Linked DNA regions of Nothobranchius furzeri. The protein of the gene in region 2 purifies or fractionates together with the protein of the main gene of each other region. This does not show direct contact. Links are inferred from orthologs where the notes say so. Each region holds a gene or a part of one and is shown on either strand. Other genes may lie near its edges.

Region 1 (7,888 bases), on a different chromosome or scaffold from region 2:
TTGGTATCAAAATGCGTATTTAAAATTCACAGATGTCAAATGTGAAATCCATGGCACATAACAAGCGGAATTAGAAAATAGCTCTTTTAGCCCCATTGACTTGCATTCATTTTTTCGTTCTACCGGGAACCCATGGTCCGGGCGTAGATGGGTGTGACTTAGGCTCCCTATAGAGCAGTACATTGTTGAGTTCATGACACCATCAATAAAATGCAACTCCCCAACACCAGCGGTACTCATGCAGCCCCACACAAGGACATTGCCACCACCGTGTTTCACTGTAGGCACGATGCATTTCTCCTCAAAATCTTCACCTTTATGACACCATACAGTTTTGAAACTATTAGACCCAAAAACAGTGATCTTTGTCTCCTCACTCCAGAGTATAGAGTCCCAGTATGCTTCCTCTCTTTGAGCATGGGCCCTAGGTAATTCCAGGTGTGTAATTTTTTGTACATGGGCTTTAGGAGAGGCTTACTTCATGGACAATACCCATGCAAGCCATTCCTCTGCAGTTTGCGCTGTATGGTGTCACAAGAAACGGTCACTCCAGTTTGGCTTTCTGCTGCTTTAGCTAACTGCAGTGAACTTGCATGGCGATTTTCTTCAACCCTTCTCATCAGAAGACGCTCCTGTCGAGATGTTCACTTTTGTGGATGGCCTGTACATCTCCGTGAGGTTGCACTTCCATCTTTCTTAAGTGTTTGGATCACTTTGCCACAGTATTTTGACTGATATGTAAAGCTTTGCTGATATTCTTGTAGCCTTCACCTTTTTTATGTAAAGAAATTATTTCCTTTCTCAGATTTTGATACATTTTCTACCATGTGGAGCCATTGCTGAGAGCATGAAATGGGAAGTTATTATTTTTTTAAGTAATGCTGGGCACCCCTTAACCCTCCCACTGTCCTAGTGGGTGTGACCCTGTGAGGAAAGTTGACCATTGAGCAGGGTTGATGATTTATCCCTTGGGCCCATGCGGCAGGGGTGAGGAGTGAGCACCACCTCACCCCTGCCATGTGGACCTCAAGGGATAAACCATCAATCCTGCTCAACGGTGAACTTTCCTCGCGGTGGTCACCCATAAAGCCAGTGGGAGGGTTAAATGAATCATTAGGCTCACCTGTGGTTGAATGCCTGTTAATTCAAATTTTATAGTCTTAAGTGTGGCTTTTCTTCTAATATTATAATTGAGGTGTACACCTTTTTGCAACATGGGCTTGAAAGGATTTGTTAGGAAAATCACTTTTTGTCTGTGAAAATTAATAAATCTCGTTTGGTCCACATTTGTGGGAGTATTTTGTATAGTACCTCGTAAAAAATGTTGATTCTAAAAGGAGACTAAAGGTTTTCTGTCACATGTAGTGGGGTGTGCTCATTTATGCTGAGCACTGTATGTATACTCTAAAACATTTCAAACGTTAATTAATCCATAATTTTTAATGGTTTTACACCAATGATAGTTGTTTTTATCCGTTACTGTCTCGTGGCATTAGATAATGAACGGAATTCTTGGATTTCATCCAAATTGTCATTCCCAAGTGAAGTTGCTAATTTAGTCTTCTTTATTTTGTTTATCGCTGACATAAACACTCCTGATTTGTGTCGGGTTGAGCTTTTCACTTTCGACTCACATGGCAAAGGTTGTAATAGTTAACAAGCAGCATGCTTGTTCTCAATATTGGATCACAACAATCCAACAAGTTTATTATTTCCTGATTTTTGACTAGAGTGGCCAGACGCTCTTCTGAGCAGACCAGACAACTCTTAGGAGTCTTTGCAGAATAGAAAAATAGAGTTTTTTTTTTTTTTATAAAAGAGACTCAACACTTTTCTACATGGCTGTTTTTGTTGGATTAAATGGACATCCACAGTCTGAAAATACTATCTATGACACACAGCATCACATCATCTGCATAAAGACACATTTCGAAACAAAGTCTTACTTTTTCTGTGAAAGTCAGGTTTCTGTGAGATTTCTGTTCTGACCCGAGTGAAACCAGTTCATATCAGGTGTGTTGACCCCATCTTTTAGTTCTTTTTAAAACACAGAAAGGTTTTATTTACCTGCAACGTTTCGTTTGCAGCTGCAAACCTTTCTGTGTTTTAAAAAGAACTAAAAGATGGAATTAGAATTTCAACACAGCAAGAACACACCAAAGAGGTGTGTTGAGTGTCTTATGGCTGGACACCACTCACTGCAGGACCAAAACTGGTGTATCCTTGATTTTCTTTATCACTATGTGTGGGATCACTCTTGTTTGGAACATTTTTCACCATTTTAAAATCTTGTTGTGTAGATCAAGCCTTAGAAAAAAATACGAACTTAAGATATTTCTAAGAACTTTGTACTAGTTAAACTCTTGTGACCTGAACATCATTTCTATCCTGGTGAACCAGACCAAATTCCTGCTTTGCAAAGTTTGGTCTGGGAATGCTCCATTGGAACCTCTGCAGCCCCTAGCAGCATTCTGGCAGGCCAATCATTGCTCTCTATAGGGGTTTCGAACCAATAGAGCACTGTGATTGGTCCATAATGGTACAACAGTGGACTGCCTTGTTTACCGACATCTCTTGCCGTGAGTATGCCACGTTGTTCGTTGTTCAGTAGCATGCGGAGATCGTTTGAAAGACAACGGTAGAAACCACCCTACGACTGAGAATCGTCAATGGAGCGTTGCCAGACTAAGTAATATATTTATTCATTCTGGCTAGCCAGACTACATCATTTCAGCTGGTCACTACTCATTAGATTATGCTTCATCCTCCTTCTCTTCCTTTTCTTCTCCAGTCTCAGGTCATGCTAAGGCCGTAAGGAGCTACATCCTAACTTGTGCAAGGTGCATTAGCTTGGAATCTCTTCATTTCCAAAGCATACCCTGCTTGCTTCCTCTTGCCAACATATCCCCCTCTTCATGACAATCAACCTTCACATTTTCTATAGGACCTCTGGTTTTTAATGGCTCTATTTGTCTTTTTTTTTTCATTTTTAAAAATAATTCCTGAGGCTGTTCTGATAACTAGTTATAACTCATCCACTCACCAGGACTGAATATGTGAATGAACACTTCAGCTAGCAAGAAGCCAGAAAACAGAAACAGCTGCTTAAAGAGCAAGTCACCCCCTACAATTTACTAACTCCACTCCCACTTCATGTTTGAAAAATGCAACAAATGCTGTTGCCTGGCAGACCGAGAGGGTGGAGCCGCTAACAAATACACACACACACACACACACACACACACACACACACACACACACACACACACACACACACACACACACACACACACACACACACACACACACAGGCTCACAATGGCATTGTGACATCATAATGTACCAGCTAACATCATAGCATACCTCTTAGCCAATAGCGGTGGCAGATTTAAATTCAGATACAGTGCAGAGTTTTTCCCTGACGACAGCGGAACACTGACAGTTTTAGGCAGAATATTAAAATTTTAGCTAAGATGCACTGAAGTGCCAAATTATTGACTACGCGTGTCTGCAGCACAATTAGACACTCGTTTATATAGTTTATCAGCAAAAAAAGTTGATTTGGTGGTGACTTGCTCTTTAAACTCTGATTCAGTCAGAACAGATATATTCTTAAATACAGACATAAATAAGATAAGAGATCTGACATTTTGTCAGTCTTTGAGTGATTTTAGTCTAGTTTCTGCTTTCCAGGAAGTTAGATCCACCAGAGGCAACAGCTCCATCTGGAGTGTCTGCAGAAACAAACAGCCTGGATAGCAGCTTCAGGCACCAAATCAACAGTCAACTTCACTCGTGTTTAAAATCAGTTTTTTGAATTCTACCTTTTAAAAGTTAAAGCAATACATTAGCAGCGTTGTAGAAATAAGACTTATTAATGGATTTTGCATTTCTAGACCAGCACTCATAGGAGATAGAGAATTAGATTTGTGTGCAAAGGTGAAAGAAAAGCTGATAAATTGCATTTTCTGTCCATAATATTTTTTAACTTCTTACCTCAAGTCACAGTGTTAGCATAGGGTTGGGCATCGAGAATCAGCATCGATTGGAACCGGTTCCAACTGTTCATCATTTTTCCCGGAATCGCTCAATGTTTTTTATTTCAATTCCTAGTTTTGATTCCCAGTATTTCGACGGAAGAGGAGTCCGCGGCCGATCTTCGTGAAAAATAAACGTGATCTCGTGACTCATGTTTTATTACTGAGCTCTGTTGTGGCTTTTTTATGAACATGTGACAATCAGCTGAAACTGTTGAGAAAAATCTGTTCAAACAAAATAACAAGATGTTCAGAAAGTTTAGAAGCCTGTGTTCATCATTAACGAACCGCATCTCAGGTCATCTGCGTTTATGTGCTTTTAACACGGACTTTACTGTCGTCCAGAATATTTAACCGAGGACGTTTTCCTACCCAACACCAGCCTCCAATCAGGTTTGTAAAACCCCTATTATCCTGTCTTCTTTACAAGCGCGTCTTCATCACCTGCTGCAGAAGCTGCTGCGTTCAAAGCTGACAGAAACGGGGATCCGTGCGCTGCAACCCCTGCAATAAACCTGCGCATTTCCAGTACAGATTTGAACATGTTTGTCGAAAGATTTGTGCAATAATCAGGTTTTTATTTTTCCTTCAACAAAATGCAAGTTCTGAATTAAATATTAATGAAACGGGGACGGCTTGTCATCGGATTTAAAAGCCGCCGCCGCTCGTTAATTACACCGTCATTTTTGAAGTCAGGCAGTCCAAATGACAGCAGAGAGGTCCACTCGCTGTTGCACACATGCGCAGTGGGCATTATTTTACCCCAACAATCCGAATGGCTGTGTGCATGCACGTCAATCGGAATGATGAACACAATAAACCACCTCTCTCAGTCGGATTGAATCGGATCAGAATATTCCGATTGACATGTTTACATGCAGAATTTTCAATCTGATTGGGCGTTCAATCCGATTAAATATGCACATGTAAACATGGCAGTTGTGCTGCAAGTCTTTCTTTTTTTCTCCAAAACACATTTTTGTCTAAATGAAGGTGATGTTAATTGTTCATAAAATTAAAATTCATGTTGAAGTTAAGATTATTTCATCAAGTAGGACCTGTGGTTAGCTGGCTCATGCAAAACATGTCATGTCTTCAAATAATCGGAATCGGGAATCGATCGGAACCGGAATCGAAACGAGAAATTGGAATTGGAATCGGAATCGTTCAAAATCAATCAATGCCCAACCCTAGCCACAAAGTCACCTCTTTGGACACCATCTCATTCATTTCCTACTCATCCCACCAATGCTGCCGTTTCTTCTTTATTGTGCATCAGAGCTGGAGTATTGATTTAGCAGGGCCAGGAGCTCACACACCAGTTGGACTACCTCCATACAAATCGATCCCTGCCAGCTTTTTGTTGTCTGCCACATGAAATCAGAGACTGACAACCATCAGATCTGAGTGCTGCGCCCAAAGAGAGAAAGCTGGATATAGAAATGGAGAACACTTCAGCTGCTTGAAGCAAGAAAAGAGACAACGCATGTAGAAACAAATATGACAGTTTTCAGCTGAAAATAAAGTTAGATTTATGCCCATTTTCATGAATTTTGCAAAATGCAACCTGACTGCCTTGTATTTATTCATCATAACTGTTACTATTAGCATAACTTGTAATTATTCTGTACCAAAAAAGGTTTTATTAACGGCAGACAGAAATAAATGTATATATTCTAACTGGATTTCAGCTAAATGAAATTCTATTATCAGTCACTGTTTCACAGCTTGAACCTCAGCTTGTTTAAAAGCAAACATTAATCTCTTGTGCCACTTTCAGCTCTGAACTGGGCTAAGTGTTTGTCCTTCTATGCGTTGGTTATAATCTAATTCAGGCTGATGTGTGGTGGTTTCCATCATGACCTGCAGTACCAGAAGGAGAACATGACTTATTGTTATTATTATCGTGTTCGGTGTTCGTTGTGAGGAAATTAGATCACTTTAGCAAATGCAATCAGTATGCAAACACAGCAGCACAAAATGAAATAAGTTGCATCAGGCAGAAAGGCAACTACGAAATGTTTAGGGGAATGGGTTAAATAACAGCTGTGTGTGAATTTAAAATAGGAAAATCAAAGATTTCTAGCTTCATTGATTTCATAAATATCACTTTGCATAATAATAGAAAATTTTATGCACATATGTAAGATTAAGCATAAATTGATCTAATTTCTAATTTACATCTAACCAGATGAGAAGCACAAGGAGAATAGAATAGAATAGAATAGAATGCCTTTATTGTCACAATACAATTGTAAAATGAGATACAGAGCATCTCCTACTCAGTGTAAAAAAACAAAAAAAAATGCTGGGGGGGGGGGGGGGGTTTCAGTTCTGCAGCACTATATACATATGGACAGTATTAGTGTTATGTATATACAGTTATTGCAATAGAATTGGTATAAATAGTGGTGGTCAATAGAGGCAGTGGGAAGTGGAGGGCTGTGTTATCGGTGCATGTGTGAGTTCAGCGTGGTTATTGCTTTGGGGAAGGAACTGTTTTTGAGTCTGTGGGTTTTTGTATTAATGCACCTGTAGCGCTTCCCTGAGGGACGCAGTCTGAACATGTTGAAGCCAGGGTGGGAGCTATCCTTGATGATGTTTGCTGCCCTACTGAGGCAGCGGGAGGAATAAATGTCCATCAGGGAGGGGAGAGGGCAGCCGATGATCTTCTGTGCTGTCTTTACCACACTCTGAAGCCTCACTCTATCCTCCAGAAGAAAATGGCCATGAGTTTAGCGAGATTTGCATTCTTCTTCCAGGATGAAATAAGAAGCATTAAACATGGAGAAAACCACCATAACTCTGTCCATGTGGTAAGTACACTGGGGGAGAAGAGATTGTGCTGGGATGCTTCATAAATGCGACTTGTGATTTATTTTTCTTTACCAATTCTTACAAGCTAATAAATCCCAAATTACATGAAATAGTCAAACTACACAAAATTATTTCTCATTTAAATTTAAGTACAACATAAGTGTGATTCGGGGTGAAAGGCAAAGTAGACCAGTAAATAACTTTTGTTGCCCCGTTGACGCTCTTTTTTTTCTTTTTTTCCTTCCAGGGACCCATGAGCCGACTGGAAGGGGAGGAGACTAAAGCCGGGTGTACGCCGTGCGACTTTTAGACCCTTAGCATTTAGCTCCATCTCTAACTGTATGATTTCCTTGCAGAGCAAAGTTAATGAGCCATGTTCTCGCACTGTATGCATAGACGTAGTTTTGGGGGGAACAGGGGGGACATGTCCCCCCACTTTTTTTAAGTAAAGTTTTGTCCCCTGCACATTTTACCATCAAAAATAATTATTACGCTATATTAAATAGACGCTGGTTGAGCACTAGGACCAAGAGGAAAACAACCGCTTGTGTTGAAGCCTGTTTCCCGTTAGAACTGTCCATGAGCTCATCTGGTGATACTTGCTAACGTGTGATGGGCCGTTCCTACCACCTGTGTACTTGACAGTTCTGCATTCCTGACATTGCATAAAAATGCCTCTAGGCTGTAGTTTTATACATATGTTTTGCATACTTACTGAACAGACCCCCCCACCCTGGTTGTGTCGTGTCCCCCCCCCCCCCCCCCACTTCTAAAGTCAAAACTACGCCCATGACTGTACGACCTAATGCTTGGGTGTGACCTGACTACCCACACGTACAGTAGCAACAAGTCTGAGCTAAAATGTGCTAAAAACAGTAGTTTTTACACAACATGTTGGACCTTCGAGTCCAAAAGCCTAGAAGTTGTTATTAGGGACCTGCTGCTCTGTCAGCAGGGCCCTTATTGTTCTTCACCGGAGGATTTATTTGCTTTATGATTATTCTTCCACGGACGTTAATGCAGCTCGAACATTG
Region 2 (8,109 bases):
CTTTAATGTGAGTGGGAAAATTGGCATATTGATGAAAACTGAGGCTGTCCAAAGATGAGGAGAAGTCTTTGCTGAGGGGGAGGGCCATATTGTCCATATGAATATTAAAATCACCAAGTAAAATTACATTTGGGGAAAGGGCGGACAGATGGGATAAAAGAGCAGAGAGTTCATTTAAAAACTCAGGGCTGAACTTGGGGGGACGATAAACAGTGACAATTATTGTGGGGGTCGGGCCGGAGAGTTGACAGGCGAGGCATTCCAGAGTGGTGAGAGGAGGAAGGTTTACGGGAAGGACCTTCCAAGTCTCGCGATACAGTATCGCGAGACCACCGCCGCGGCCCGACCCACGGGGTTTGGAGAGGTAAACAAATCCGGGAGGAGTACAGTCATTGAGTTGTGAGAAATCGCTGGGTTGTTGCCATGTTTCGTTCAGACAAAGAAAGTCTAGCTTATGGTCACTGATGGTATCTTGGAGGAGATGTCCTTTACCAGAGAGGGAGCGAATGTTGAGAAGACCAAAATTAGCAGTGCGGAAGTCCCTGGCGACAGGAGCATTAGTCCGACTAGCCAGCCGGGCTAACACGCTGGAGTCGGCAGCTCGGCAGGTATTCCTGGGTAGCCGCCGGCTAGTCGTGGACCAGAAGGAGGGTATTCCTTTGGAGCCGTCGAGATGGAGGTTCCGCCGGGACCCCCGATGGATATACCGACGGCGAGGCTGGAAGGTGATGTCGGGGAAGAGGCACAGAGCTGGTGGTGGAGATCCGGAGTAGCGAAAGCGGAGGTTGAAGAGCTCCGCCGCCGAGTACTGGAGAAGGCCATCCACGGACAGAAGAATGAGCGACAGGATGATCCAGGCCAGTGCGAGGCACACAGAAATCCTGCTGGACCTCATTATGGAGTGGAGCAGGGAGGTGGTGATGTGCAACCAGAACGCAAGCTGAACAGGTAGGTGAAAATGAGTTTTCACCGACACAGGGATGTGACCAGGGTGAAAAAGAAGAAAAAAAAAATACAAAAAGTTTGTTTGCCAGCGAGCAGCGGCAGCGAGACGCGCCAGCGTTCACTCAACCGGAACCGGGTCATCCAGTTTCAGTTTCAGTATTTCAGTTCTTGGAATCAATTCTGAACCTTTGTGGATCGATTCTGAATCTTTATAAACAAGAATCCCGATTCAGACTTGAATCGATTTTTTTCAGCACCTCTATTTGCAATAAATAAAAACTTAACTCAGGAACTAAAATAATCAAAAACAAAGAAATAAAAAAAGTCATAAAAATGAGAAAAGCAAAAGATGCGAGGAAAGGGAAAAAGAAAAGGCGATCGGTGGATCCCGGGAAAGGCTAAATCAGCAGAACTAAGCTGACTCAGGCGTTTGCCAACCATCAAAATTAAGTGCCGTCCGCCTCGGGGGCGGGCCTCCAACGCATGAGAACCCACCCGACTGGCCAAACGGGTGAAAAGCTCTTTTATTTGTTAAGAAAACATCATGCCTCCATCTGACAGAACGCATCATGTGTAGCAAACATTTGAGCTGACCATTGCGATATTTATCTGTTCTTTGCAATATGCATATCGTGCATGCAGATATCGCGATAACGATATATTTACGACATATTGTGCAGCCCTACCACCACACATTAGGTGGTGGTGAAGGATACGGTTGTAAGCAGTGTTGAAGTCTTTGTTGAGGCACCAGTCCAGGATGTTGGCGATGTCTGAGCGAAGGGGCTGGCCCGTACAGGTGTACACCGTGTCCTCCGTGACCTTCCCGTACGCCATGCTGGTGCTCTGAAATCCCAGAGAGAGCACCAGTTTACCCCTCTACTGATGTGATGATGAACGCTGTGGCGACTTAACACTTCCAGGTAGGGATGCACCGATACGATACTGGTATCGGCACCAATACCAGTATCGGTAAAGGTTAACCGATACCAATGCAGTTGTTTGAAAATGGCTTCACTGTAACTTGTCATTTCTGTTCACCTAATATTTTAGTTTTGTGATGATTTCCATTCATATATTTTACTTTTTATCTTCCTCACAGTCTTTTCCTGTTGAAAGCAGAGAAGAAAGTAAAATCTGTATTCCAAATCATTGCATTTTTTGTGTGGTAGAAGTATCGGTAATCGGTATCGACGAGTACCCAGATCCAAGTATCGGTATCGTATCGGTTTGGGAAAAAAGTGGTATCGTTGCATCCCTACTTCCAGGCGATCGAAAATGAACGTCTGGGCCAGAAAGAAAGCAGATTTAAGTCGTACCTGCAGAATGTTGAGCGATCTTCTCATATCACCAGATGATAACGTCACAATGGCCTTCATTCCATCTGGAGTCACTTCAACGCTGCCACATGTTAAAAAAGTTATCCGGTTAATTTTTAGTTTAAATTAGTTCCAATCCATCCGATTAAAACCTAAATATAAATCTCTTAATGAAACGCTTTAGTCTAAATTCAAGTCCAGAATCTTTCCTAAAGGAGCAACTCTGATGGGAAGACTTGGGAAAAGGCCTGGAGAAGGTTTAAATGCTCTGAGGTGTGAAAAGTTCTCCAATCCATGCACTTCATGCGTCTGCATGAAAGCAAAGAAAAAATAAAAATGTTTAAAGTCGTTGAAAACACGATGGCATAAAACGATCATTTGTGATTTTTGGTATCTTACATTAAATCAAATGTTTGCAATAATTAGGGGAACTTAAATGTTCACGTGGAAGAAGAAGCTCAGAACTCTGACTTCACCTCAGATGAACTCATCTGTGATTTTTGGGGCAGGTTTTACCACAGCAGCTTCTGCGGAGCTTAACGACCTGCTGAACAGGTGATTCAAGCATTGAATCAGGTGTGTTGGAGCAGAGAAACAACTAAAACACGCTGGACAGGGCCCCTAGAGGACCAGGATTGGGTGCAAAAACCGAATCTGCAAAAGAAAAGAGAAGAAATGTTCCTACTTCTCCTGCTGGATAACGTGCTCCAGTCGGGGGACCATCTGGTCGGGAGAGAGCGGGCCGAAGCGGAACCTGGTGCAGCGAGACTGCAGAGCGGGGATGATCTTCGACAGGTAGTTACAGATGAGGCAGAATCGAGTGTTTTCTGTGAACTTCTCAATCACTACGACAGAGGAGGTCGGCACAAGCAGGAGACGTTAAAACTAACGCAGCGAACAGAAAGTGTTGCTTGCAGTAGGAAATGATTGCAAACATTTTAAAGTTCTGATAAGAATCACAAATCATCACCGTGGGTTTTTGTTCTACCAGCCAGCATTTCTAAACCAAACATGAAAAGGATCAAATATTCTAAAGCAAGACAGGGTCTGACAGCATCTTTTCTATGCATGCCTCAGTTAAATACGAGTAAAATTGCAATCAGCAACAAAACCCACAGCGACCAGCAACAGGAAACATGTTTTCCCATTTCCTCCCAGTTTGAAACTCCTAAAAGAATCCGTTTGGAAACAAATCTGGCTTTGGAAAGCAGATCCACCATTTTAAAAGCAGCCAGATTATGAGGATGCTCAGTCAGCTGTGAGGCTCACAGTGGGCGGCGCCCTGGAGAACAGATGGCTCACCTCGGCGCAGTGCATTCTGGGCATCCTGGGTCATGGCATCGGCCTCGTCCAGAATCACCAACTTGAAGCCTTTCCTGAAGGAACAGAAAAGATGACAGCCGTACAGGTACCTGCAAAATCTCAGAGGTTCTGGGTCCCAAAAGCCCTTTTAGTTTGTTTATACCCACTTAAAAATAGTCCTGGTACTAGCAAAGCTCAGAATGGGACCTCGTACAACGTCAATCCCTCTGTCGTCAGACGCGTTTAGCTGCAAAGAAAAAGCAAAGTTTCTGAACAATCTCCGAACCCTCGTGAGGTCATTCCAGCACAGGAAGAAGCCCTGAACACTCATGAAAGTGTTTGTTTACCTCCAGCACCATGGAATTGAACTCTTTATCCTTGTACAGCTGCCTGGCGCAGGCAAGGATCGTGGAGGTTTTGCCTGTTCCAGGGGGACCGTAGAACAAAAGGTGGGGAAGCTTGTCTTCGCTGATGAACCTCTGGACTGAAGGTAATAAAATAAGTTATTAACAAAAATAAACTCATTTATAAGTATGAAAATATAATTTCAAACACACGAAATCAGAGAAACGTTTATTTTTATCATGATTTTAGTTACTAAAAGTAGAATTTTATGATGTGAATATTTATTTTACACAGATGAAGCTTCAGGAAAGAAGACAACAACGTGTTTTACTTGCAGATACTCACGGGTACTCAGGATATCTTTGTGTGAAATTAAATCGTCGAGGGTTTGAGGTCTGTATTTTTCTACCCTGAAATACAAAACAAGTGCGTCAGTTATATTATAAACAATAACTACTTACTGAATGATTAAAGCTTGACAGCACAGAAAGCAAACATATTAGCTCAAATAAAACCAATCTGTAGATTCCGTTGCCATTTTAATCATTATTGTCGAACCTAACAAGGTCTGTTTGACGAGTTTGTGCAACGGTAAAAGGTTAAAGTTATGATGGGGGACACAAGTGTGAACACTTCAGCTACTAGCATGCTAGCTAGCTAGCACTAAGCACCTTTGCGTAATTAAACACGCGCTTTCTGCTCACCAAGGTAAATTCCGAGACTGCAACGGGACTTTACTCGTAGACGCCATGCCTCCTGCAAATGAACAATAATCACAAATAAACACTAGAATTTTAGCCTGTTCGTTAGCTTGTAACCCTGCCTTGTTTTGCCGCGCTCACGAGAGAAACGTGCGTCAAAACGTCAATACGTACAACCAATTGGATGACGGTATTTGTCTTTGTAGTGGGCGGGGTCACTGTGGTTAGTTGAGCGCTGCAAAAAGTTAACACAACTGCGACTAATCAGTACGCTGCAAGAAATGTCAAACATTGTTGTTCCTCTTCAAATTCGTTTAAATGTCAAACTTTTTCTTTTCTCATTGCAAATAAATCACTAGAAACCAATAAAACCAAAAATATTTATCCAGCTTGATCAATTATATTAGCCAGAATGTCCTGAAAGAAGCACAACGTAAAAACAATTATGTCAGCTATTTCCAGATACGACGACGATGATGATGATGACTAGATGTTTGTCACTACCCACTTTGTACCTAAACATTCTAATTTCTTTAGAAAATGTGTTATGAGCTATGCCCGTGTTAAGATTTACCTAAAATAGATCACATTTTTCATGTAAACACAGGTTTATGGTTTTATTGTGGTTTAAAGTCCCCTTAAGTCAAATAACCCCGAGAAAATTAATATAAACCTAAGTTTGACCTTAGCCTCATTTTGATCTTTGACTAAACAATCTATGATTTTTCAGCGATGCTTGCACTGCGATCTTTTTAATCAAATATATATATATATATATATATATATATATATATATATATATATATATATATATTGTGTGTGTGTGTAAGTGTGTAATAAGAGTGCACATATATGTGGCGTTGATATGAGTAAATGAAATAGAATAAAAAAATCTTTGACTCGGACATGAAGAAAACCCGTTTCTCATCCAGGCCTGGAGTTCTCGCGAGAGCGGCCCCTCACGGCGGAGCCTGGGCGCTGCTATGCTGTTGCTGTGGGTTTGATTGACAGGAATCATGTCGGTGTGGTGGGAACGTACCGGGATGCTGCTGCTGCCCAGGGAGACACGGAGGACCCGCATCCAGCAGCGTTAAGCGCTCCAGACTTCCCTCCGAGCTGTCCGCTTACGATGCGCTGAGCCACATCCCTCTTTTCCTTTCTTTTCTTTTTTTTCTTTCAACATCCTTCTGAGAGGAAGAGGCACCCAATGGATGCTGTGTCAAACCGCGCAGTCCAGCTCGGTGTCTTCATGCTGCATCTGATTTAGCCCACCTTGATGATCCAGCAGGACTGATGGAGGCGATGGAGTCGACTCTGTCACGGCTCAAACCCTGAATCCAAACCCGCAGCATCTCTTTTCATGGCGTTCTGCAGGTCGCTGTACTCCGTGGGCTCCTCCACGTTTATTTCCTTCAAATAATCTTTATCGTTGTCATTTTTCTCCTGCAAAGAGAACTATCCACCCACTGTTCGCCAAACAATGAACGAGGAGATGACAAAAAGCGAGGAGCAGCATCTGAGTTTGCAGAAAGCCTTGCAGCAGTGCGAGTTGGTGCAGAACATGATAGACATAAGCATCTCTAGTTTGGAGGGTTTACGGACCAAATGTGCCACATCCAACGACTTGACGCAAAAGGAGATAAGAACGCTGGAGGTAAGCTTTTATTGGTGTCTCTTTTGGACGTGGTGCATCTCCACCTCCATCCATCCCGAGGGCTGCCACCGTGCTGTTTTTAGGCCACTCTGCATATTTATGTGCATTTTTCCAGGGGGCATTGTGCTGCCAATGCATTCATATGCAAAGATCTCCGCTAAAAGCTCGCCGCTATCTGTTTTATTTGTTTGTTTTTTTGTGTGCAGTGCAATGAATCAAGAGGCCACGGTGCGTCTGCAGTGGGTTGTTTTACAGACTTGCGCATTCTGCAGGTGGCGGGGATGAAGGTGGCTCTTCATCAGAGTATGATGCGAGGCCTATAGGCTGCCCGTGTTTACAATCCATTACCAGCAGACGACAGCCTGCGCATCTGCTGTGGCAGCGTGTCCCAGACCCCATGAGCGGTTATGCAAGACGCGCGGATAACTGACATTGTTGCAAAATATCCCTTAATTGGCCCGCGGGGTATTCCGTAAATTGCGTTACGTAATGGCCATAAATACCCTGGTGTTTTTGTTTGAGATGTCACACTGCCCGTTCTGAGACCACTTAAAACAGGCGCGCGCGCGCACTTTCAGGACATAAAATGGCATAAAGTGCGCAAAAAGGTCAAAGAAAACCCCGCACAGCAACCTGCAGACTGCACAGCTTTAAATGGCCTGCAAGAATGTATTTATTTATTTTTTGGGGTGATGTCTCAGGAGATTAAAACAAACACCATTAAGTGCAATAAAGCGCCCATAAACTCACCACTGAGTACCATCAAATCACTTAAAAGTCCCAGCTGGAATATAATTGATAGGTTGCATAAAAATAGCCGATCATAAAGTCTCCTGAGAGTGATCCCACATGTTATAATAAACACGTTGTAATGCCTTATGTCACGTGGTTAAAGATAGTAGGTGATACAAAGGCTTTCCAAGATGATGGAGGAACTAATAGTGCACATTTGCTGCCAGTTCTTAGCCACAGTGTGAAGATGAATGCTCACTATGTTCCCAGAATGCCTGGCAACGCCTCATGGGTAAAGAATCCCAGAAAACAATCACGTCCGTTTTAAAGAGGACATATTATGACTTCTCAAGTTATGATATTTGGTTCAACATTTTTATGAAGTGATTTGCACTAAATACCCCTCATGAAAAGAGATTTCCACTGTTTTATTCTTGACATTTTCAGTACCTTCCAGAATGAGCCGTTTCAACACCGTCACTTTAGCTGTTTTTACAGGACCAGAGCGTTGGAAAAACAGGATTTGCGCGGCGCCCTGGGCAGGATAAAGGTCGTTTATAAGATCGGACCGTGGTGGTAATGTGGCACAATCGTGGCAATTTAAGATTAGGTGATGGCGGCATAAAGGGGGTATGGGGGCGGTCTCTGCGCTGTAGCAGACTTCCATTTATCTTGGACATAACTTGTTTTTTATTGCGATTGAAGCCGTGATCGTTAAGGTTTTTTTAACAAGCAGCTCCTAAAGGTGTCTGTCCCCATCGGTCCCTGTGCAGTCTCTGGTAATCTGAGCTTCAGCTCTAACAGAGAGGCTCGTGGAGTGCTGCGGCGCTCCAGTTTGCCATCTCAGCTGATTTTTTTCAAAAAGCAAACCTTATTGCCCGTGTTTACTTTCATTTTCAATACATTTACCAGCCGGAGCTCAGCAATAACTCCCCACGTCATTGTGACATCTGCCTCTGTTGCACCAGGGCACATACGTACAACAGACCATTTACGCAATATTACCACCAAGCGACGCGGAACAAATGCAGCAAAATTAGCGCAACGCCATGCTGGCATGGCGCGTTTATAGACCTGCCATTGCGGTAATATGACGCCGATTTGCCGGCAT

Evidence for each region. The genes of interacting proteins can lie anywhere in the genome.
Region 1: the proteins of rfc5 (region 2) and atad5a purify together in Homo sapiens (affinity purification with mass spectrometry; 4 studies listed by BioGRID and IntAct, counting the BioPlex papers as one, with this or other methods). This does not show direct contact. The link is inferred for Nothobranchius furzeri from reciprocal best matches to the Homo sapiens genes RFC5 and ATAD5.

Annotation. Positions count from the first base shown.
Region 1 is NC_091752.1:53,825,632-53,833,519, reverse strand, and holds the start of atad5a (ATPase family AAA domain-containing protein 5), read right to left. Parts: upstream 4,354-7,888; 5' UTR 3,997-4,353; intron 1-3,996. UniProt on the Homo sapiens protein: Has an important role in DNA replication and in maintaining genome integrity during replication stress.
Region 2 is NC_091750.1:34,475,137-34,483,245, reverse strand, and holds the start of rfc5 (replication factor C subunit 5), read right to left. Parts: upstream 4,999-8,109; 5' UTR 4,663-4,998; coding exon 4,616-4,662; intron 4,322-4,615; coding exon 4,257-4,321; intron 4,051-4,256; coding exon 3,914-4,050; intron 3,814-3,913; coding exon 3,734-3,813; intron 3,641-3,733; coding exon 3,567-3,640; intron 3,110-3,566; coding exon 2,950-3,109; intron 2,347-2,949; coding exon 2,265-2,346; intron 1,792-2,264; coding exon 1,662-1,791; intron 1-1,661. UniProt on the Homo sapiens protein: Subunit of the replication factor C (RFC) complex which acts during elongation of primed DNA templates by DNA polymerases delta and epsilon, and is necessary for ATP-dependent loading of proliferating cell nuclear antigen (PCNA) onto primed DNA.